Linked DNA regions of Medicago truncatula. The main gene of each other region encodes a partner of the protein of the gene in region 3 in a complex. Links are inferred from orthologs where the notes say so. Each region holds a gene or a part of one and is shown on either strand. Other genes may lie near its edges. The genes, in order: fructokinase-like 1, chloroplastic; fructokinase-like 2, chloroplastic; thioredoxin-like protein CITRX, chloroplastic.

What was found.
Region 1: the proteins of thioredoxin-like protein CITRX, chloroplastic (region 3) and fructokinase-like 1, chloroplastic are in contact, whole or in part, in a cryo-EM structure (PDB 8XZV), measured with the Spinacia oleracea proteins. The link is inferred for Medicago truncatula from reciprocal best matches to the Arabidopsis thaliana genes TRX z and FLN1. Residues at the interface, in XP_021862427.2 of Spinacia oleracea: Tyr73, Val75, Lys77, Ile83, Thr84, Val87, Arg88, Tyr100, Ala101, Thr102, Trp103, Cys104, Gly105, Pro106, Cys107, Ile108, Ala111, Gln112, Lys129, Asp131, Thr132, Asp133, Asp134, Tyr136, Phe138, Arg140, Asp141, Met142, Gln143, Val144; in XP_021865197.1 of Spinacia oleracea: Gln111, Lys112, Glu113, Phe114, Val115, Pro116, Ser117, Val118, Arg119, Val120, Ser121, His123, Gln124, Met125, Asp126, Pro127, Asp128, Ile129, Tyr130, Trp133, Met136, Gln137, Pro141, Phe143, Asp175, Phe176, Lys201, Ala203, Cys204, Ser205.
Region 2: the proteins of thioredoxin-like protein CITRX, chloroplastic (region 3) and fructokinase-like 2, chloroplastic are in contact, whole or in part, in a cryo-EM structure (PDB 8XZV), measured with the Spinacia oleracea proteins. The link is inferred for Medicago truncatula from reciprocal best matches to the Arabidopsis thaliana genes TRX z and FLN2. Residues at the interface, in XP_021862427.2 of Spinacia oleracea: Tyr73, Lys77, Ile83, Thr84, Val87, Arg88, Phe99, Tyr100, Thr102, Trp103, Gly105, Pro106, Ile108, Leu109, Gln112, Asp131, Asp133, Tyr136, Phe138, Ala139, Arg140, Asp141, Met142, Gln143, Val144, Arg145, Gly146, Leu147, Pro148, Tyr151; in XP_021858068.1 of Spinacia oleracea: Gln218, His219, Ala220, Phe221, Val222, Pro223, Ser224, Gly225, Arg226, Pro227, Ala228, Arg230, Leu231, Ile232, His234, Gln235, Ile236, His237, Leu240, Lys241, Ala243, Phe250, Ile251, Asp282, Tyr283, Thr286, Trp308, Ala310, Met311, Ser312.

Annotation. Positions count from the first base shown.
Region 1 is NC_053045.1:6,419,045-6,426,459, reverse strand, and holds the start of fructokinase-like 1, chloroplastic, read right to left. Parts: upstream 3,048-7,415; 5' UTR 2,958-3,047; coding exon 2,262-2,957; intron 785-2,261; coding exon 92-784; 3' UTR 1-91. UniProt on the Arabidopsis thaliana protein: Required for proper chloroplast development, most likely through regulating plastid-encoded polymerase (PEP) dependent chloroplast transcription.
Region 2 is NC_053046.1:19,649,836-19,657,062, reverse strand, and holds the start of fructokinase-like 2, chloroplastic, read right to left. Parts: upstream 3,036-7,227; 5' UTR 2,903-3,035; coding exon 2,862-2,902; intron 2,586-2,861; coding exon 2,242-2,585; intron 2,147-2,241; coding exon 1,494-2,146; intron 410-1,493; coding exon 1-409. Other genes in the region: folate synthesis bifunctional protein, mitochondrial, read left to right, coding at 3,941-4,007, 5,486-6,966. UniProt on the Arabidopsis thaliana protein: Required for proper chloroplast development, most likely through regulating plastid-encoded polymerase (PEP) dependent chloroplast transcription.
Region 3 is NC_053042.1:14,273,477-14,281,386, reverse strand, and holds the start of thioredoxin-like protein CITRX, chloroplastic, read right to left. Parts: upstream 3,031-7,910; 5' UTR 2,915-3,030; coding exon 2,690-2,914; intron 2,588-2,689; coding exon 2,465-2,587; intron 1-2,464. UniProt on the Arabidopsis thaliana protein: Thiol-disulfide oxidoreductase that plays a role in proper chloroplast development, most likely through regulating plastid-encoded polymerase (PEP) dependent chloroplast transcription.

The DNA.
Region 1 (7,415 bases), on a different chromosome or scaffold from region 3:
GATACATAAATAAACAATGAAACAATTAACTACAATCTAATGCTTAATGACACTGCTAAATTTTCTATTCTCGTTGCACAAACAATTTTTATCACCACATTGAAGGTACATAAACTTGTTCTTTCAGATTCTGAGCAGCACTTTCAGTAGGAAAACCTCTAACTCCACCGATAGTCCATTGCGATATAATTCCGGCTGCAACAGCAAAACGTAGCTGTCTCTCCAAAACATCTTGGTCTTCAAACATTTCTGGACAAGTGGTTAGTTTTCTCATAATAGCAGCCACAATAGCATCACCCGAGCCAGTTCTATCGCAAGTATAAGGAGTTATGAGCACGTCTTCTGTTCCAACCACAACCCCGTCAAAGGAAGGGGTATAATAGTGAATTCTAATTGTTCCATCGGTCACAAACAAGAACTTAAGACCATCATGCCACAAAGGCGAGATATCCTCGGCAGTATAATGGTAATACTCTTGATGATTCTTGGTTTGTTCGTACTCTTCGGCGTAGTATTGTGGTTTATAATTTCTCTTCCTCTCATAATGTTCTTCGTCTAGAAGGAATTCTAGCTCGGTTCTTGAAACTTCAATGATGTCTGCTTCTTGCCATGCTTTCTTGATTATTTCTCGAGTCTCGTCGCGTGATCTCCACAGAGGTAATGGCAAGTTTATATCAAAAAAGACAAGGCCACCGAACTTCTTAAACCACTTAATTGCTTTGAACAGAGTTGATTCCATAGAAAGGGATGTTAGAACTTCTGAATTGAAATGGAAAATCCTAGCCTGCAAAAATAGTCCATAGAAAAAAGTTACAACAAATTTTATTCACAGAAGATTATTCCTCATACATTAACAACCTATTACCATTTCAAAAGTGTCAATAAAATCAACTTTGGGATGGGTAGAATTGATTTAAGAGAAGCAAAATTTTATAGCTTCCCAAACTCTACATGTGTGACTTATAAGTGATTTACACTTCATAAGTGATTCCAATTTATCTTCCAAACAAAATTCATTCAACATTGTAAAAAATTGCTCTACCTTCCAAAATGTGAAGTATCAAAAATGATTTTGCCTCATGTCAAGACGCACTGTAAGAATACTAATGTTGGTTTACCTTACACACAAAATTGCCTCTGAACCTCAATTTGACAAAGAGTTACGAAAAACAGCTTTGACATTTGATTGACAGAATGATACTAAACTATATATCAAACTTGCCTTCACATTCGGTGCAAAAACGTTAAAATATAAGCCACTTCTCTTCAAACTCATTGTAACATATTCAATATTAAAAGAATCAACTTCATACAATATCACGTTTAATGAACATTGTTCCAAATAAAGGCACAGCCATCTTCCTCATACATTAACAAACTTTCACCATTTCTAACCGTGTTATTATACCACCTAACCTAAAAGAAAAAGTTCCCTTCCCTAAATAACATGAAAACAAAGCATGATTATACTTTTTTAGCATGGTTATCAAATTGGGATACTAATTGCGAATGAAAAGACCAATTCAATCATGAATTAAATCTCATTATGAGTGGTATAACATACGTCACCAATAAAAATATAACATGGCATTTTTTAAGTAAAAACAAATGACAAAGCAAAATTATAAATTGATATATTATATACAAACCTCAAAATAATTTCATAAATCAAATGACAAAAGAAAAGTTGCCGAGTATAAAAAGATGACTAAAAAAAAGAGCTTACCACACTAAGTTTGAGTAATGACTCATTAGAATGAGTCGGGATTCGTCATCATGAATCAAGATTTAACTTACGAATTGAGATTTAAGATGGAATTCATGTCAGAAACAGATACACTCTAGAGATTCATATTGAGTTCATATTTATAAAGTCCAACTCAGCCCAACAAAATCGGTTTGTACAGTGCGGAATGTCTCCCACTTACGAACACATTTTAAGACCATATCTCATCTAATGTGAAACTCCTATCAAACCCCATCACAAAGAAGATAGCACATTTGGAGCGTGACCTGAGTGGCCGATACCTCAATGAATCTAGAATAGACTCTAATACAATCTTAAATTTTGGGTTGTACCTAACTTAACCCAACAAAACTGTCTTCTAGAACAAGGGATGTCTCGCGCTTATAAACACATTTTCATATCACATCTTACCTAATATTAATAACTATGTTTTTGAGTAAAAAAATAAGCAAATATAAGTGTCAAAAATAGTAACAATTAACAATGCAAGTAATTTAAAGCTAAAAAACAAAACCTCTTTCAAAACAGCAAGATTCAATTCATCACTCCTAAGAGAATCCTCAGCACATTCCTTAACAATCTCCATCCCCATCTTCCCATCATCATCAAACTTCACCTTCATATAACTACACCCAGTCCGAAACCCCGAATCAAACTTCACCCCTCTAGTCTGCACCTTCTCCTTATTCATCCCCAAAACAATCTCCTCCCCAAACTCATCCTCCCCAACTTTCCCCAACAAAGCCGCCCGTCCGCCAAGCCTGACATGGGCCACCGCCACATTCGACGGCGGCCCACCAGGTGCTCGCGCAAACTCCGGCGGCTTCCATTGTAACATCTTCCATTCTGTGTATATATCTGGGTCCATTGGAAACTCCTGCACACGCACCGTAGGTAGAAACTCCCTCTGTGCTGCTCCGAAACAGCATATTAACGGTGGGTCATCGTATGGGAAATCAATTCCGTCGTCGTAATCTTCAAATTCTTGTTCATGTTCTTGTTCTTGTGTTGTGTCGTTTTGAGGTGTGTTGTTTTTTTTGTTGCGTCGTTTTAAGGTTTGGGATTGTGTTTCTGTTGTGGAAGCTTTAGGAGTTGTTATGTGTCGTTTTGAGGTTGTTGTGTTTGATTTAGAAAGGGTTGTTTGGGGTTTTTGAAGTGAGGTTGTTTTTGGAGAGTGAAAGAGAGGAAGAAGGAGAATTGAGGAGGACATTTTTATGGGTTTGGATTATTGGAAGGGTTTATCATTCATTTTGTGTAAGAAAAAAATGCTATGAGTTTTGAAATTCTGTGTTATCCAAACCACCTAATAAAATGGGTGTTTTTTTTTTTGCTACTTTCAAGTTTGAAGGATGGTGACAAAAAAAAAAAAAGTTAAAGAAGTATAACTTACATGATTTAACTCGCGTGGGATATACGAATGTAGTGAATGTGGCCTAAGTCACGTTGAGTTCAACATCTTAGTGACTTAAGTCATGTGGATGGTATTTTGGGAAGTTCAGTTGGGAGTAAGCAAATCTTGATGGGAGAAGAACAATTTTCATCAATATTAACACTCTTTTCAATGGTTTCTATTATATTCACATTTTTATTTATTGAGCTATTCCGCTTAAACAATGTATAACTCAATAGTAATGTTAAGATTGTTACATTTTACATTGTATGTGGTTATTCAGATTCAAACTCGAGATCTTTTATTTGTGTATGTGAATTTTATATGGTGTTTGACACTATATATAAGAATTTCATGTGAATTTCATGCCTAATATTGATGCATATATCTTTACATTTATATCTGCCTATCTAAGAAGTAATTAGTTAGTAACTAGCTAAAGATACCAAAAGAGAGTTGACCCTAGTAGTAAGTACTTAAGAGGTGACATTATTAATATCGAGTAAAATTTGTTGAAGCTAGGATGTAACTAGTTATTAATTAAGGAAACAAGCGACTCTAGGGAGGGAACCAAACCTAGTAGAACCATTCTCCTCGATCCTTGGTAAGGTAGACGCTAATAGGGCTGCCCATTTGTAGAACTACCGAGAGGGAGAATGTGTTATGAGATACCTAATATTCATATATGGGAGAACCTTTAGGAACATTGGCCTTAATTGATTTTGAAAATTTAGGAATGTCAATTTAAGTTTATGTTTCAATTACTTTTGAGGGAATAAGACCCCGCACGTAAGGATCGCCATGTGATTAGCAGGTGCAACTCAACATTGGAGGGATAAACCTAAATCAACTCAACCCAAAGAAGGGTAAAAGTTAAACCGTAAATCTGCAATGTGTTAGGGCAGTTAAGAATTTGACAATTACTTTTCTCACCCTATGACCTTCTGGCACACCCTATGCAAATTACGAAAATGCCTTTCGGATTATAAAATCCGGAACATGAATGCGTGTTCCGGAATATAAAATCCGGACAACTGCGAAGTATAAAAGGAACTTCACCCCCCATTTTTACAGTTTTATTTTTACAGAAGATGGATATATCGAATGGTTTTATCGACATTCTCATCCACGCATGATTCTTCATGATATGCCGCTACCGGTGCCGAGGCCACCGGAGCGTGAGATCCTTGATGCGCAAGCTACTCAGGAGGATGGAGACCTTGCGTACCTACAGCTTAGCGGAAGGATGAGCCGCATCAGAGACCACATCTATGATGTGATGAGAAGTGGTCTCGTGCCGAAAGGGACTGTGGAATGGCAGCATTTGGAGGATGCTTTGAAAGAGGTGCATGATGAAAAAGTTTACCGTCACCGGGGAGCCACTGAGGGTGGCAGAGGTGGTGGCTGGGGTGGTGGCAGAGGTGCTGGGGGTGTAGTTATTAGGGATTGATTGTATTTTATTTACTTTTAATGTTTGAACATCTTGGATAATTTTTGGTGATGTAACATTTGAATATTTTTAATGTTATGTAATCTTGGATAATTTTTAATTACGTTTGTTTAATATTATGTTTGCAAAATTATATTTTGTTGATGATTATAACTTCAATTTACTGTTAGAACATGTCTTCGATTTACAGAGGCTCAGCAAAAACAAATGGCTTATGCCTTTGAACCGATGCATTCCGGATTATAAATTCCGGATTATATAATCCGGAACCATCATTCACCACCCCGTTTTATTGACTTTCAACAGGGTGATTTACACCTTTCGGATTTTATAATCCGAAAATTCTCTAAATTGTTCGGATTGTATAATCCGGATCCATCTATTCATAACTTTACATCTTCATCCATCAAGATGATGAAGTGCCAAAAACCACAAAACATTCCGGATTATATAATCCAGACTGTGGATATTTTGGGGAAAAATAGGGCGCACGAGGAAATGCATAGGGTGGAAAAAGTAATAGTCTAAGAATTTTGGATAGGTAAGAAAAGCGATCGGGTACGGGTTACTTCATGGTTTACCACGTAGACCTTTGATCCAACGGGTATATTTACGCAGACACGTTGGCAAGAACCGCTTCAAGCCGTTAGATATCTTCCTCTGGAAAATTCTTTGTTATAAGAAGTGGGTTTCTTTATTTCACTTTCACTTTCAGTTTCAAAACCTCGTAGGTTGCTCCTTTCCCTTCTTTTCCAACAGGTAAGAAACTCATCTCAATTTCTTATTATATTCATTATTTATTCAATTTAATTTAATCTATTATGTCTTCTTCATTTGATTAATTAACTTGTTGGAGAAATTTAATTTGCCATTTATCATCACAGATCATATGGGAATTTTTAGTGATCACTGGTGAAAATATATTTTTAGTTAGTCTGGTTTTTAGTTAAGAAACTTGTGGGTATTGATTTGTTTAAGATGCTTATTCCTTAATCTGTACCCCTAATCTAAAGAGTGTCTGTGTTTAATAGAAGGTGAGTTTGATGAAATTACATTGACACCATAGTTTTTTTTTTTAAGTCCTAAAATGTAGTTTTTGCCAAAATCACGGTGGTACCATATTATTAGAAACTTCAGATTTCGAATTTGGTACATTTAGGGAAGGGAATGTATGTACCAATAGAATTGCCAATGCTGGTTTCTTTGTAGATGACTTAGTTTGGTGGGATAACCTTCCTAGTTGATCTTCCCAATTGCTCTAGAGAAGCCTTTTTAGAGATAGATTCGGCTTGTCTATTTTTGAAAACTTGGTATCTGGCCCAATGATTGAGTAAACTGAGGGGTCCAATCCCACCGTCCACGTGCGGGTGCCTATTTAAAGTCAAAGCTGTCAGAGCAAAGCTTTTTATGGACTAACCCATTGAAATTGGCACTGGGGGGGATCAAACCTGGCCAACCCAAGTGGGTTTAGATCTGGCTTATCTAAATTTTGTTTTTGTTAGCCTTGTTTTGGTGGGTTTGGTTTATGCCCCCACCCTTGTTTTCTTTTTCATTATGAATAATACTTTTGGAGGTGCTATTGGTGGTATATTGAGGTGCCAATGTTTCACGTTGACAGAACAATACCTGTGATTTTGCATTAAAAAAACCGATGGTACAGCATTATTCCGCCAAACTTACCGTCAATCCAAGTTTTTTAGTCCCTATAAATCTACAGACATTTCAAGTTTATTCCTTTCAAAACTGTTATCCATTTTATCCTAGCTTTCATAAAAACAAGGTGTCTTTAGTTCCTCTGCAACGAGATGAACTAAAAAGTAACAACACCTTATTTTTTTATATATAATGTAGGTCTAAAAATGTATAAAATCAGAGATGTGATGTCATGCAACTTGTCTGGTGATTTTGTGATATTGTAGTTGTACCATTGTTGACTAAGAATCACGTTTTGCTTTATTTTTCCAACTTTGATGTATTTTACGGTGATTTTAACTTTGTAGAAGAGATTAAGTTCATTATAGTGAAATTTCTGTCTATATGGCAGCTTGGAGCTCTGTTGTCTGGGGTCCATATTGTTCTCCACATGATTATTTTGTGGGGATAATTTACATGATTTGTCCATGATATTTTTTTGATTTCACTGACATGTTCACATGATATTTGGTTTTTCTATTTGCGATTTAAGGTAATAACTTGAAGGGGGTATTGTTTTTTATTAGAAATTAGAAATAATTACATTGAGTTCTTATGAGATGTTTGAACATCTGAGATGTTTCAATTGCTATATGTTTTTCACTGCCCTGTGCCATCTCATAGTTGTGTGTTGTTTCTAAACAATTGAGGTAGTGAAGTTGTGGTACTTAGAGAATGAGTGTTTTTGAGTTGTGATAATTGAGTGATATCCAAAAAAACAGATGGTGAATACCTAAGAAATAATTGAGTGAAGTTGTGATACCTAAGAAATAATTGAGTGAAGACGAGTATCATATTGCACAACCTTCAAGATTTTTATGAGTTCTCTGTGGATTTTAAGTCAGCAAGTAATTTAGTATAGTTTTTTGAAGGTTGGTTTTGAGAATGAGTATTTATGGATCTCATTGTTTTTATCTAATATTTAAAATTTTTGTTGTTAATTTTGTGTCAAAAAGTAGAACGTTATTCTAGTTTGAGTTTGCATTCCCATCTAGCTGAGAGGATAAGAAAAAGTTGAGATGCATTTTATTGTCATGTTTGAGGGGCATGTAAAGTTGTCGAGGGAAGGGTCATCTTCCCAACATCTCTTTCTATTTTCACCCAGAGAAATCTTATGATTGTCAATTCATCAGATA
Region 2 (7,227 bases), on a different chromosome or scaffold from region 3:
CCATACCGCTAACAGCACCATCGAGCTCTGTGGTGTAGTAATGTATCTTGGAAGTTCCATTAGTCACAAACAAAACCTTAAGATTTTCGTGCCATAGTGGTGCAACTACTTCGGGTTCGTAATGGACAAACTTTGACCTGGCATTGTTTTTGGTGTCAAATTCTTCAGATGGTGTTATCCCGCATAGGAACTCTAGTTCTTGCTTAGTGACTTCAATGATGTCTGCAAGATTCCACACTTGCTGAATGAACGTCTTAGTTTCTTCCTGAGAGTGCCATAGTGGCATAGGAAGGTTTACATCGTAGAAAACAACTGCTCCAAAATGCTTTGCAATCTTGATAGCTCGCAATGTCGTGGATCTCATGTGACGATCAAGGAGGGAATGTGTGTTGAAATAGAACATTTTTGCCTGCATGAGATGTGTTCTTAATAGACTCAATAGCATTTAGTAATAATCTAAACTCCCAAGCAGCTAAAACAAAACAAAAAACTAAGTAGAAGCATACATTATACAGAGAATCTGACATACAATCAAACAAACATGCCTTATATGTTAACTGTTAAGTATAAAACTATTCACGAGCTTTCAACCAACAGCATTACTTTTTGGTTTATGGTTTGCAACCAAAGCTTCTATGTCCAAGTCGTCCTAGGGTCCAATCCTTATTGTCGCCATGTTTCTAAACAAATGATAGATTTAAAGAAATATAGGGTACATCTAGTCGTCTTTGCTCTGTCAATAGTCAGGCCCAAACAATTATTGTGTGAAAGGGCATGATACTACAACGATTCAAGTGTTTTCACTAAATAGCTTAGTTTTGGGATAGTTGGTTCAAAAAGAATGAAGCCATCTACAGAATCATTCATGTTTCTACTTTTTTGCTTAAATGTATGCATGCTTGTAACTAATATCGTAACGACACACCATTGCAGTAGACAATATCGTTGTAAAATGCTACTTCTGTCCCTAATTATAAGTACATCTTAGAACGAAAAAATTAATTTCTAAACATAAGCCCCATTTCAAATTAATAGATGCATTTATTACTTTATTCCAAATATACCCGTTATTATAATACTACTAATTTATATATCTGGAGAGATGAGAAATTAGGGTTTGACACATTTATATACAAAAGGTTATTTTAGTAACAGTCATACACATATTAGATACAATACCTATTTTTTTAATATATATGTGAAAATGATGAAAGGGGCTTGTGAATAGAGATGGAGGTAGTATATAACAATTACAATAGAAAGATGATGAAACTGCATATTTGTTAAAATGATGATGAAAGGACTTACAAATACGGACAGAGGTAGTATAGAACATAAAAAAAACTGTTCTATCAAATGTAGAAAAGCACATCAATTTCAAGTTCAATAAGGCTGCTATATCACCAATGATGAGACTAGAACATATAATCAACAGAGAATACTATTTACTTCATTTAAAAATCATTTTCTTCAATGAGTTTCTAGTTCCGTACCTCTTTCAACACGTCAATATTTATCTCTGACTTTGTCAAACAATCTTCAGCACAGGGTTTTACACAACTTAGCTTAAGTTTCCTTTTACCAATCTTCATCAGTGACACACCTGTTGCCCTTTTACTATCAATGCTGACCGATCGGGTTTGAACATTATTTGCGTTCATATAATACAGCATCGCTTGACCATATTCATCATCTGCAAGTTTTCCCATAAAAGCAACCTTGCCACCCAAACTAGCAAGAGCAATGGCAACACTACCGGCACAACCTCCGGGAGCCCTAACAAATTTCTCAGGGCTCCAGAGGGCATCCTTCATTCTTTCGTGGAGTTCATGATCTATAAGCCTATTGGCAGGCCTACCTGAAGGCACAAAAGCATGTTGTGCAGCTCCAAAGCAACAAACAAGAGGAGGCCAACCGTAGGTATCACTTATGTCCTCTCCATCATATTTTTCCAGATCCAAACCATCGTCAATCTCATCCTCCACATTTTCAATAAAGGAAGGCTCGTCTATGTCACTGATTTCGGCTTCACCACCACCTTTATCCTCTAAAATTATATTCTCCTCTTTAGGTTTCCTTCGCCTTGTAACTTTTTTCACTTCCTTAACTTCTTTCTCTTCTTCCAAAACAGCAGAACTAGATGCATCTATAAACCATATCAAGGTTTAACTAACACATATAAACAAAACAAAAACACACATAAAATTCTTAACATAGAGACAGATAAAGCGATTAGATTACCTTTTTTCCGAGTCTTTCGTGTTTTCTTCTCAGAACCATCCCCAGAGGGAGATGAGCCTTCTACAATAGACGCACTATCTACATTTACCAACAAATCAATTGCCCCTTCAGGAGACTCATCTATTGATTTTTTCTTAGTCTTTGCCGACACCTTCTTAGGTTTAGATGCTTTAGTTGCTTTCTTTTCCACCACAGGTTCATTTTCACTAGATTCTTCTTCAACAGATCCTAGTGAAGCTTTCTTCCTAGCCATTGCAACATGACCAGATTTACACTGAATTTTGAGACCCCCAAGTTGAACTACGTTCATAGAAGCATAGCAATAAGACCAAGTCAAGTTACACCTGCACACTTGCAAAGACAAGAGTTACACATTCAAATTCAACCAGCAAAAGAATTATACACTAACATTCAATTCCAAAACTAGAGCTGAAACCCAACACACACACAGCAAAGTTGAATAAAAAAAGTAACTTTTTTAGAAGAATTATATTTTTATGCAAAATTGAAAAAAAATTCATGCTACCCATTTCATTAAAAATCAAAATTGGATAAGAAAAAAAAAAAAAGAAAAAGAAAAGTGTTTTTGTTACTTTTTTAAGACTACAGATAAAGGGTACCTGGGAAGTGGAAGAAAGTGAGCAAAGGAAAGAGACGACATTGGAGAAGAAATTGAGTTACAAAGAGAGGTTAGTGTTCTGTTTAGGCATCACACTTAACATACTAGCTAAGGTTTTGAACAGAAGAAGATTTGCTTTAGAGAGAGAGAAAGAGGTGAAGGGTTTAACAAGGACCAAAACGACAAGGGGGTTTAAAAGAGATAAGGGTCTTCGGTAAAACACATATTACCCTCCGGTAAGAAAAATAATATTTGAACATCCATTTGATGATAATTTTTGTGTCAACATTCTTTTTCATACTCATGTCATTTTTACTTTAAATTTCTGTACAACAATAATTAAACCGTATCTTTTTCTTATTTATCTTATTTATTATTATTCATTTAATAAATAAGAAAAGGATACGGAAACATCAAAATCCAATTGCAATTTGCAACCTCAAAGTAATAATTAAAAAATTACTTATATTAATATAAGTATTCTTTTAATTATTATTTTTTCATTTAACTTCTTGTTATTTAACTTGTTATCTTTTATCTTTCAAAAAAAACAAAACTAGTTATCTTTTATGGTTTACATGCGTTACCATTAAACAAACGAAAAAGTGAGGGGTTTTAGTCTTTTTCTTCCTTCTTGCATAGGTGCTTAGGAATGTTTTTTCTCTGTGCATTCCTCTTCCAAGCCAACTCATGATTCATAAAATAATCATCAATTCAGTAAGTTATGGCCATTTCTTTTTACTTCTTATCATGCCATGTGTTTGATAATATGCCTCAAAGGCTTCTGGATCTGTTTTCTTTTTCTTTTTCTTTTTCGTGTTATATCATATTACAAATTACAAATATCCAAGCTTTTATTATGCAATTGACTATTATTTTTTTGTGAGATTCACTAAATTGGAATAATGCCTTATTGTTTTTTATTGCTATTGCATGAAATTTCAATACAAATTGGATTTTTTGGGATAATGTGAATTCTTTCTGACTATTTTCTCTTGTGACTAATGCATGATTTCAGTTTGTACCAGCTCAAGAGTTTTAGGATATTGGCTTCGATACACTTCGGGAAGCCTTTCTCAGATGAGTATACTTAAGTACCTGAGCGCGCGCAGGAGTCAGCTCTGTGCTGCAAGAAACTACCTTAAAGGTAATGCAACTTAAAGAAGCTGCTATTTTGTGTACAACCCTGAAATTTCTATCATCTAATATAGGAAGAGATTGGTTTCAATACACTGGCAATGCAAAAAAAAAAAAAAAAATTTAAGCATGCGTCCAATCAAATTATACTATTTCTAGAGTTTTTTTAGGAATCAACCTAAGAAAGTGGCATCATGAGATAATTTGATTGGATGCATGTGTAAAAAAGTTTTAGACCGTCGATGTATACAAATTAAAACCATATAGATATAGGAAAGCAAGAAAGACTGGATTGAAGTTTGTTTCTTTTCAATGCTATGTGAATCTGTGTTGAGTGATGTGATGGTTGCATAGTGTTGCTCAAAGGCAAAACCAAATATGTGTATGAGGAGTTGTCAATATAAGGGGTTTGGGTGATGGAGGATTGGCTTGAGATGTGATTTGTTTTTTAATCAAATGACTTTACCAGTAAATTTGGTTAGTATGAAATATGTCTGACTTGCAGAAAACTAAAAAGATGAGAACAGAACAGAGTGGTAAACAGAGAGAAAGGCGCATACACTTAACTCTAGTTTAATAAAACTTCGATTACTAAACAGAAATATTCACTTTTCTTCAACATGTGGATCCAACCCAGAAAGCACACTAGACCGTATCCAACGTTCAAAAAGCCATTCAAACCCATGCTCTAGTAATTTATGGCTATTTCTATACACTTTTCTGTAAAATAAAACCAACATCCCAAAGTCACTAAACATTTTACCTTTTCTGTAAAATAAAATCAGCATTCCACTCCACTCTAGCCTTTTTTGTTCGTTTTCAGCTAAAAATTATAATTTGTGAAGCATGCAGGCTGCAGCTTCTACCACCATTCACCATCTTCAAACTTGTTATAATAACATTACATCTACAAGCCATTCCGACTCTGTCAATCTCTCTCCGTGCAAGAATGAGATTTAGGGATCAAAGTCATTGTAAAGTTTGATTTGAAGGTTATTTTTTGAACTTTTTGAAATGTAAAGTTAGTTATTGAATTATTATAACTAAAGAGGTGAATAAAATAAAATTATTTAAGAGAGTCGTAATAAGATGATGATACTATTTTTTAAGAAAATCTATTAACTACACATTTTTAGGGCCTTGTTTTTAGAGCTGGCCTTGGTTAGTGAATATTTTTTTTTCTTTGTTTAAAGGTTCTTAAACCCAAACATTGTCATCTACTGATACTCACGGGTGGAGATATGGAGAGGGTGGTTTCTTTTCTTGGTTTTCCTACAATACTTCTATATTTATGCGATTAAGAAATAAGTTCTTTTAGCTCTCTAATCCACAGACAGTACATAAACTGGTTTTTTGTATTGCCAAGGTTTCATAATAAAAGGATATAATCAATCTAGAAAGAAGGTTATCAGAGTTCATCAGTTTTGGCATACTCAATCAAAGCCTATTATTTACAAATGTTATTTTTTATTTTATTTTTCCTTGCAGTACTCGGATTGTCATCTCTTCACACAGCTCCAAACTCCTCTGTTGAACTTCACACTCAAGATGAGGAAGTAGTGATTGCTTTGGGAAGTAATGTTGGCGATAGACTACAGAACTTCAAGGAAGCCTTGAAATTGATGAGAAAGTCAGGCATAAACATTACAAGACATGCGAGTCTGTATGAGACAGCACCAGCGTATGTTACTGACCAACCTCGCTTCCTGAACTCAGCAGTAAGAGCTGTTACTAAACTCGGGCCACATGAATTATTGTCTGCACTGAAACGAATCGAGAAGGACATGGGCCGTACTGACGGTATAAGGTATGGTCCAAGGCCAATGGACTTAGACATTTTATTCTATGGTAAATTTAAAGTCAGATCTGATATTCTCACAGTACCTCATGAAAGAATTTGGGAACGACCTTTTGTCATGGCCCCTTTGATGGATTTACTGGGAACAGCTGTTGACAATGATACAGTTGCTAGCTGGCATTCATTTTCAGGCCATTCTGGTGGACTAAATGCATTATGGGAAAAATTAGGTGGAGAATCCCTTATTGGAGAGGAAGGTATGACTAGGGTAATGCCTGTTGCAAATGGCTTGCTTGATTGGTCGCAAAGAACATTGGTCATGGGGGTTCTTAATTTGACTCCAGATAGTTTTAGTGATGGGGGAAATTTCCGGTCTGTGGAATCTGCTGTTTCGCAGGCTCGGTTGATGATATCAGAGGGTGCTGATATAATTGATATCGGTGCTCAGTCTACTCGGCCGATGGCATCGAGGATCTCTGTCGAAGAGGAATTAGGTAGATTAATCCCTGTACTGGAAGCTGTAATGTCAATACCTGAGGCAGAAGGAAAACTCATATCGGTGGATACTTTCTACTCCGAAGTTGCATCAGAGGCAGTGCGCAGAGGGGCTCATCTTATAAATGATGTATCTGCCGGGAAGTTAGATTCAAATATGTTTAAGGTCATGGCAGACCTTGATGTTCCTTATGTTGCAATGCACATGAGGGGTGATCCGTGTACAATGCAGAATAATGAAAACCTGAAATATGATAATGTCTGCAAGGATATATCCTCAGAATTATACGCGCAGGTTAAAGAGGCAGAAATGTCGGGAATCCCGGCGTGGAGGATTATTATGGACCCTGGAATTGGATTCTCAAAGAAAACTGAAGACAATTTAGAGGTCCTTGCAGGAATACCTGATATTAGAGCAGAGTTTTCAAAAAGAAGTTTGGCAATCTCTCATGCTCCTATACTAATTGGACCTTCAAGAAAGAGATTTTTAGGTGAAATTTGCTCTCGCACTTCTGCAGTTGAGAGGGATCCTGCTACCATTGCTGCTGTTACTGCCTGTGTGTTGGGTGGGGCTAATATCGTTCGAGTGCATAATGTCAAAGATAATCTAGATGCCATTAAGATTTGTGATGCAATTCGAAGACAAAAATGTTGTCCGGTGAAATTTGGACAGTGAATTGTCTTGCTATCACTGTTTTGGTGCTAATTTTTTTTTGTGTGGTTCCCATGCCACCTTCCTTGTCTGTGTGTTTGGCTTCATGAAACAATACTAGTACTGTTTTTTACCATGTCTCGCTGCTGCTCCAGTGTCATATATAGAACACTACAATGATGACACTGCAAGAGCAAAGAAGCATGTACTACATTGAGTTGAAGGACATACAGAATGGGAATAAAGTTTACATCATGTATTTAAATCCTCATCTTACCATTTTAT
Region 3 (7,910 bases):
CTTGATGGAAGTAAAAAAAAAAATATTCAACAAAGGATAATAACTATTATACAAGTTATGGCTTTAACATTTCAGTAGAACATATGTAAAAGTAAAATTACTTTGATTGTAAACTGGTTGCGAAGTTGTAGTCATTTCTTTCTAGTGTTATTTAGAATGACGGCTTAAATACAATTTTTGTCTCTCGTTTTCTCAAATTCACGACTTTGATACTCCGATTTATTTTTCACGAATTTGGTCCCTACACAATGCACACATTTTTTTTTTTTTTTTTACAGTTTTGGTCGCTCAATTTTGAGGATTTTTGGCACTTTTAGTCCCCAAAAGTGTAAAAAATTATAAAAATTTAGGGACCAAAATTGCAATTACAAAAGCGTCGTAGTCAAATTCATGGAAAATAGTATGCAGGGAACAAAACGATGAGTTAGCAAAAAGTTTCATAACTGCAGCTGTTAAAGTTCCATAACAAAATGATGCATAAATTGTAAAACAATTACAACTGTGTAGTGTGAATTTGCAGCATTGCAATTAAAACTCACAACAAAACCAACTAGGACTAATGGAACATTGATTGAGTCATCACAAATTCACAATCTAAAAACATATGCATTAGCCTGTTCAAAGAATATTCCACAAGTTCCAGAATTAAGCTCATTTTGTTGCATTTGCAGGAAACCAGAATCCCAACTCTATTTTAACAATTGCTAGAACAGCAAACCCGACTCTAAAGTAGACAGATAAATAAATGCACGAAAGACAGAAACAGTTGATCACAGAGTTTGGTCAATTGAGCCTACGACTACAAAAAACAAAGTGGCCGTTGTTGTTTTCTATTATGCATTGCTTAAGGTTACAAAGTACAAAGTTGTGATTAAATGCTACATTCCATATTACAAGTTTACCCCTATGCTGCGGTCAAGCGCCTGCCTACTTATCATGAATGTGAGTCAAACTCAACATCAATACATTCAAACAATAACAACCAAAGCCTTTTCCCACTAAATTAAGTAACAATGCATTTATCCAAGATTGGCTTCATCCTTTTCCCACTAAGAGGCTGATGATGATGGAATCTGTTAAGAGACTCACATTGGACGATATAAGGTCTGGAAATATGTATATAAGTGGGAGACATCGGTCACCTTAAAAGTCGGATTTGTAGGGTTTAGTTAGGCCTAATCCACATTATATGATGCCTTCAGAGTCTATCCAAGATCTGATGGGCCACTCGCAGTCATGTTACGCTTCAAATGTCTAGTCCTAAGCGTGATGGGGAGGTACGAGTCTTGCATTAGATGAGATAGGAAATGAAAATGAGTATATAAGTGGGAGGCATCTGTCATCTTTCAAACCAGTTTTGTAGAATTGAGTTAAGCTCAATCCAATGGTGACTGTCTAGCCTTGTAAATTGTAATAGCAAGGGACTGTGTTCGAATCTACGAAGGAACAGTTTACATGGCCTAAGTGCCTCCCCCTATTAATTAAAAACAACATGATTCACTTCATATCAATAAAAGAGTATGAAAACCTTTCACTCTCCTCACATTTTCAAGCTCGTGTACAAAGAATAACCTAAATATAGTTTAGAATACAAGACCTAGCTGACCATGTTATCTTCTGCATAAAGATTGATAAACATCATGAATACTCAACCTGAGTAATGCAAGATTTTGACATGAGAACAATGCTCTTGCAATAGATACAACATATGTTTGTCATTGATCAACCAAACAGACTTTCCAACAGATAGATACTTTTAAACTTTGAGGTCCAGGCAAATGAATAAAATTTCAAATTCATACCACAGTGGACAATTTTAATGAAATTAGTAGTTTCACACGACAAATCTAAAATATAACACAAATGAAAATATGAAATATAAAGCATGTCATTATAGTTATACCATCTATTGGAGTTCAATTATTACAATTAATTGTTAGTTTATGCCAATAATCAATTCAAATTGAATCTACTTCTAGGCAAGTTAAACTCTACTAGTCTGTTTTACTTCTAGGAAAATCTTTAAGTTTGAACTGGCTTATTTGAGTTTATTGACTGGGATAAGCAATTGTTTGTAACACTGTTCGGGAGAGATTATGAAAACAGTGACATGTTCATAAAGCCATTTTCAGCTTATTTTCACAAGCTCTCTAGGACAGCTAATGAAAACAGCTTATATAAAAACAATTTACTTTATTTTATGATGATATTTTGTTTGATAAGTAGCATATAAACAATTATATGATAAACGCTTATGCGATATGCGCTAAATTAATCTGTTTATCCAAACCGGGCCTAAATATTCTAAGGAGTTGAATACTTTAATCTAATTTTTGGTGAATGATTACTAACCCTTTTAACAATCTAGAAAACTATTAAAAACTAAAATGGTCATCTTAAAAAAACATATGACAGGAGCAATGGTTAAGCATTTTCGGAATCTAACATCAATTAAACCTCATACCATTTCAAGTTCTTGAGCCATTAAGATGCATGGACCACACCAAGTCGCGTAGAAATCAATAATAAGAGGAACATTTCTATCTCCCTTCACCAGCTCTTGAATTTCTTCAGCTGACAATTTTTTCTGCAAAATTTGAAATTTTTATAACATAGAATTCACAAGAGAAAAAAAGAACACAGACCCAAATTTAGTATTAAAAAAACAAAGCTATTAGAAATGACATACCACAAGATAGTCTTCTTTAATATGTTGTCCTTTAGGTGGTTTGCAAAGCAACTTTCTATTGTTGAAGTCGGTGGATATGGTGAGAGGATAAGGATGTTGATATGTTGAAAAAGAAAAAGCAGAAGAAGAGGGAGAAACAGAGAGAGGTTTTGAAGAGAAGGTTGAAAAGGGTGAAAGAGTTGATATTTTGTGATGTGGAAGAGTGTAGGAATGGAAGAGAGCCATTGAAGATGGAAGATTTTAGAGAGAGAAAGAGAGAGTTTTTGAGTGCGGAAAGAGAAAGAGGGTTTTTGAGTGAAGGGGTTTATCATATCTATCTTTGTACTTAGAAGTTAGAACTAGATAGATAGGTCTCTTTGGTTTGTCTTTCACAGTTCACCAGTCACAGTTACTTTCTGTGTTTTAGATTTCACTTCATTTTGAGGTTTGAACGTATTTTTAGGTCCTTCCAAGTCAGTTTCAATCACAAAAATAAATAAGTTTTTTTGAATCATATTGCATTGTTGTTTTGGGATCGAATTTTTTTTTTTTTTTTGTTAAATTTCGATTATATAGGTTTTATTGATTTTATGATATGTTAGGATAGTTTTGGTTAGAATTGTTAGAGAACTTTTATTGAATTGTTAGGTTTAGGTTTTGATGAATCGTTGTAGAATTGTTAGAATTGTTTAGATTTAGGTGTAGGTTTTGATGATAGTTTAGGTTTAGGTTTAGTTTTTGATTTTACGATTTTATGGCATTGTTGTTTAGTTAGGTTTTGATCGCCATTTTTTTTTAATGTAGATATGTCTCAAATCAGAATTAGGGGTAACGTTGAGGGTGATGAGAAGAACAAATAAAAATCGCTTATGACATGACACAAAATTGTTTGTGATGGTTCCGAAAAAAAAAAAGGGTTTGAAGGTGCCGGTGTACAATCACTCCAGGTTGAGGAGGAGATGGAGGACATGCTATTTTGTTCCTCAACCAAAACAAGGTGCCCCAGGGACTGTAGCGGGCAACCCGATTAACTTGTGTGACGAGGAAGAATGAATGTAATGGTTTTTAATGTCTAATTGTTTTGGATTTTGTTTATGTTTTATTTTCGTGTCGCGCACATTTTGTTTGGCATTATGCTACTTAGAATAAAATCGCATTTGGAATAATTTCGATTAAAGTCGTGTTTTGAATAATTGTGTATTCGAATAAAAACTAATTAAATCTAACGTGAATTCAACTAATTAAAATTGTGTAATGAATAAATAAATTCGAAAAGTGAATAAATAAGATAATTATTCTTCCATTCAAAACAAAATGTATTATGCATATTCAACTATATATGTTATCACATTACATTGCATTATATTACATTCTGGAATATACCTTCCAACTGCAACAATTATCTTACCACTGAATGGGGCAAATTCAAACTTGTTAAGCAGCAAGACTCCAACATCCAATCAGCATCTTGAATGATGGTATTCAAGTGTCAAAAGAATGAGGTGCATTCCTTGACACTTGAATACCAGCATTCAAGAGGCTCATCAAATGCTGGATTCCTGCCGTTTAACAAGTTTGAATTACCCCATTCAGAGGAAGACAATTGTTGTAGTTAGAGGTTTGTACCTTCCAACTACAACAATTGTTTTACCTTTGAATGTAGTAAATTCAAACTTGCCAAGCAGCATGACTCCAATATTCGACCGACATTCCCAATGTTCCATTCAAAAGATTAAATTCTTGTTAGTCTGGGATTAAATGATGGTATTCAAATGTCAAAAGAATGAGGTCCATTCCTTGACACTTCAATACCTTCATTTAAATCAGCCTAACAAGAATTTAATCTTTTGACAGGAACAATGGGAATGTCGGTCGAATATTGGAGACCTGCCGTTTGGCAAGTTTGAATTACCCCATTCAAAGGAAGACAATTGTTGTAGCTGGAAGGTGCATTCATTCCGTACCTAATGACGATCTTATGGCGGAATCAAACTTTTGATGATATCTTCAATTGATCTCAGCAATGTCACCCGCATATTGATCCACTGGAACATGTTGTGCTCCCAAAACATGCTCGTCACGTTTTCGTCGTTCGTTAATTCCACCCAAGTGAATGATACTCTCCCCTAGTCGAGTGTTGGACGTTTATACTGAACGTATTCCACCCTCCTTGCGTCTCTGGGGTTGACTCCTTGTTGAATTCAGTCAGTTCATCCTTGAGACCTCTTAAAGTTACACCAAGGCGCCGAACCTTCAACCTCTGAGGTTCTCCGCCGTTGAATTGTGCACGAACGTCGATCCACCCGACCATTGTTTCAAATCTACACAATAAGAAATTAAAAACAATCAATGAAAAACTCATTCAAACATTTCATCAAACACTTGATGTGCAAATTATACATAGACTCCAAAAATCATAAAAATAACCCTAAAATTATAAATCATATACTCTTACTAAAATAAAAAAGTTAATCATATACTATAACATAAATCATTCAACTTATGTTTAACATAATTTTTTTTATTATAACGTAAAATATAACAAAATTATTCAACTTATATTTACTCTTAAAATAAATCACATACTCTTACTAAAATAAAATAAAAAATATAAAACACCTAATTAAAATATAACCCTAAAATTCTAAAGTATAACATAAACATCATGCAAATATTTTAACAACATTAATCAACTAACATCTACTCTAAAAATTAATTATAACATGTAAATCTACTCAAAAACTAAAAAAATAATAAATCTACTCATAAACTAACAGATAAAAACATTTATAACAACTAAAATGTAAGTTAATAGCATTATAATTACTTACTTGTGATTTTGTTGAATAAATTTGGTTGGATTTGCTTAGGTTTTTTTTAGAGAGATTTGATAAATTTTTTGGAAGATGAGATGAATAATAGATGAGAGAGCTTCTGCCAGATTTGTAGCAGAAGATCCTCGGCTGTTTAATACCGAGGTTTTCCTCGGCTGTTAACTGCAGCCAGTTTTTAATTCCTCGGCAGTAACTGCCGAAGGGGCAAAAACGTATTTTACTTGTGTTTCTCAGCCTTATGAAATGTGTCAACAACAATTCTCTACTTGCAGATGTTTCTAACTCAAGAGATAAAAATGTTAAAATTGTTAGTTTGATGTTATGACAGGTGTTCGAACCCTAACATCTCCACTTGTCTGTGTGAGTGTTTATAATGATTTGGTTATTTCGTGTACCTAAAAAATATACTTCTTATGTCCCGTTTTAAATGACTTAATTTGAAAACGTGTACCGTTCATAATACATGTTTTGACTCTATTTTTTTACTAACATATAAAAACAAAATATAGCATATAAGATGTTGGATTCTCCTTCAAAAAAAAAAAAAATCTTTGGATTCGTTTCGATGATTATTTTTAAAATATCAAATTTTCATAATTTTTTTTCTAATAGATTATTAAAGATATTTAAATTTGAAATTGTGCATTGGCATACGTGACATGGTCAATTAGGTCACATAATATAGGACGGAGGGAGTATTTTTTCTTTAAATATTTTTTTAAAAGAAGGTTTTGAATTATTTTTGAAAGTTAAAAAAATGATTATAGAGACTATGTGTTGACATTATATTTATATATTCTTCACGTAGTCTCCTGACATTAGTTTAAACTCTGTTAGTTGGATGTTATGATTGAGGTTTAAATCCCAATATCTTTGCTCTCAAACTAGTATTTGACTTGAAAGAAAACACGAAAAAGTAGTCGATGATTCCAAAATTCGTTAGTCATTGTAGTATATGAAATGGTTGTTTGTCTAATTTTTTAATCATCAAGAGTATGGGGATAGAAATCAAATTTTGAGCTTTTGTTTAGTTGGGTTTTTTAATAATGTTATAAACATGTATGAAAACAATTGTTTAAAAATTTAGGAGTTAACTAATTTTGTTTTATCAAGGACCTAAACCCGTGTGCAAAAAAAAAGTATAAGGACTAAAATATCTATTAAAATTAAGTAAGGACTAAACTAAAAAACATATTTAACTTAAGGGTTAATAGGTTTTTACTCCCCTGCCATTTGGGAGTCTTTTGGTTTACCCCCATATAAAAAAAAAAACTTGGAGATTCCCCTTTGCAAAATGAAGATTCTTTGATTTTGGACCCTGAGTTGAGTCCATCTGACTGTGTAATTTGGTTGATGTGGCGTGCTGACTGTATAACGATGGATGAAGTGGCACCGACACGTCATAATTTTTTTATTTTTTATTGTTAAAATTATGTTAAAAATGTGAAATACCTAAAATACCCCTAATGATAAATTAAAAATTCCAAATCTTTTTCTCCCCTTCTTCTCCTCCAGCAGCGATCCTCTTCTTCTATTCTTCTCTACTTCATCATATACAACAAACACAACAATTCAAAACAACAACAACAAACATCTTCTTTTCAAACTCACAACAACACATCATCAACAACAACCCAAATCACAAACATTCATCTTCTCACCCATAAAAGCAAAAGAGTCTCAAAATAGGTCTTAAAATTCTAATCCATAAATCCGAAGAGAAAAAATACGAAAAATATTATTAATATTGTTTATGGGTCGAAAAATGGGTTTGATAAAAAATGGGTTGTTGTTGTTTGAATCTGAATCTGTTTGTATTTGTTTGTGTGTTATTAATGTTGTTTGATTGGATCCAAAAGTTGTTTTGATTTGTATTATTTATGTTTTTGGCTATGTTTTTGCTCAACGAAGAGAATAGGAAGGAGGAAATGGGAATGAGAGAGAAGGGAGTAAAAAGAAGAACATGGAGAGAAGGAAGAATGGGGACGAGAGAGAGAAGGAAGGAGGAAATGGAGGAGAAAAGAAAAAATAATTTTTTTTAATGTTTTTAATTTATAAAATTAAGTTTTTAATAAAAGAAATTCAAATAGAAAAAAAAAATTGGAAAAGAAATAAAAAAAGCCACGTCAGCTGCAACCTCCTTAATTAGTGCACAATCAGCGTGCCACATCATCTCATTAATCCAGTCATATGGTTTGGGGGTATAAACCAAAGAATCTTCATTTTACAGGGGGAATCTCCAAAAAAAATTTTGACAGAGGTATACCAAAAAACCCCAAATGACAGGGGGTAAAAACCTATTAACAACTTAAATACTTTTTTATACATACATCCATCATATCATGTCACGTAGTTATATGTTGAGACATTTTAAAAGCTTAGATATATGTGTAAAAATATTTTACGTC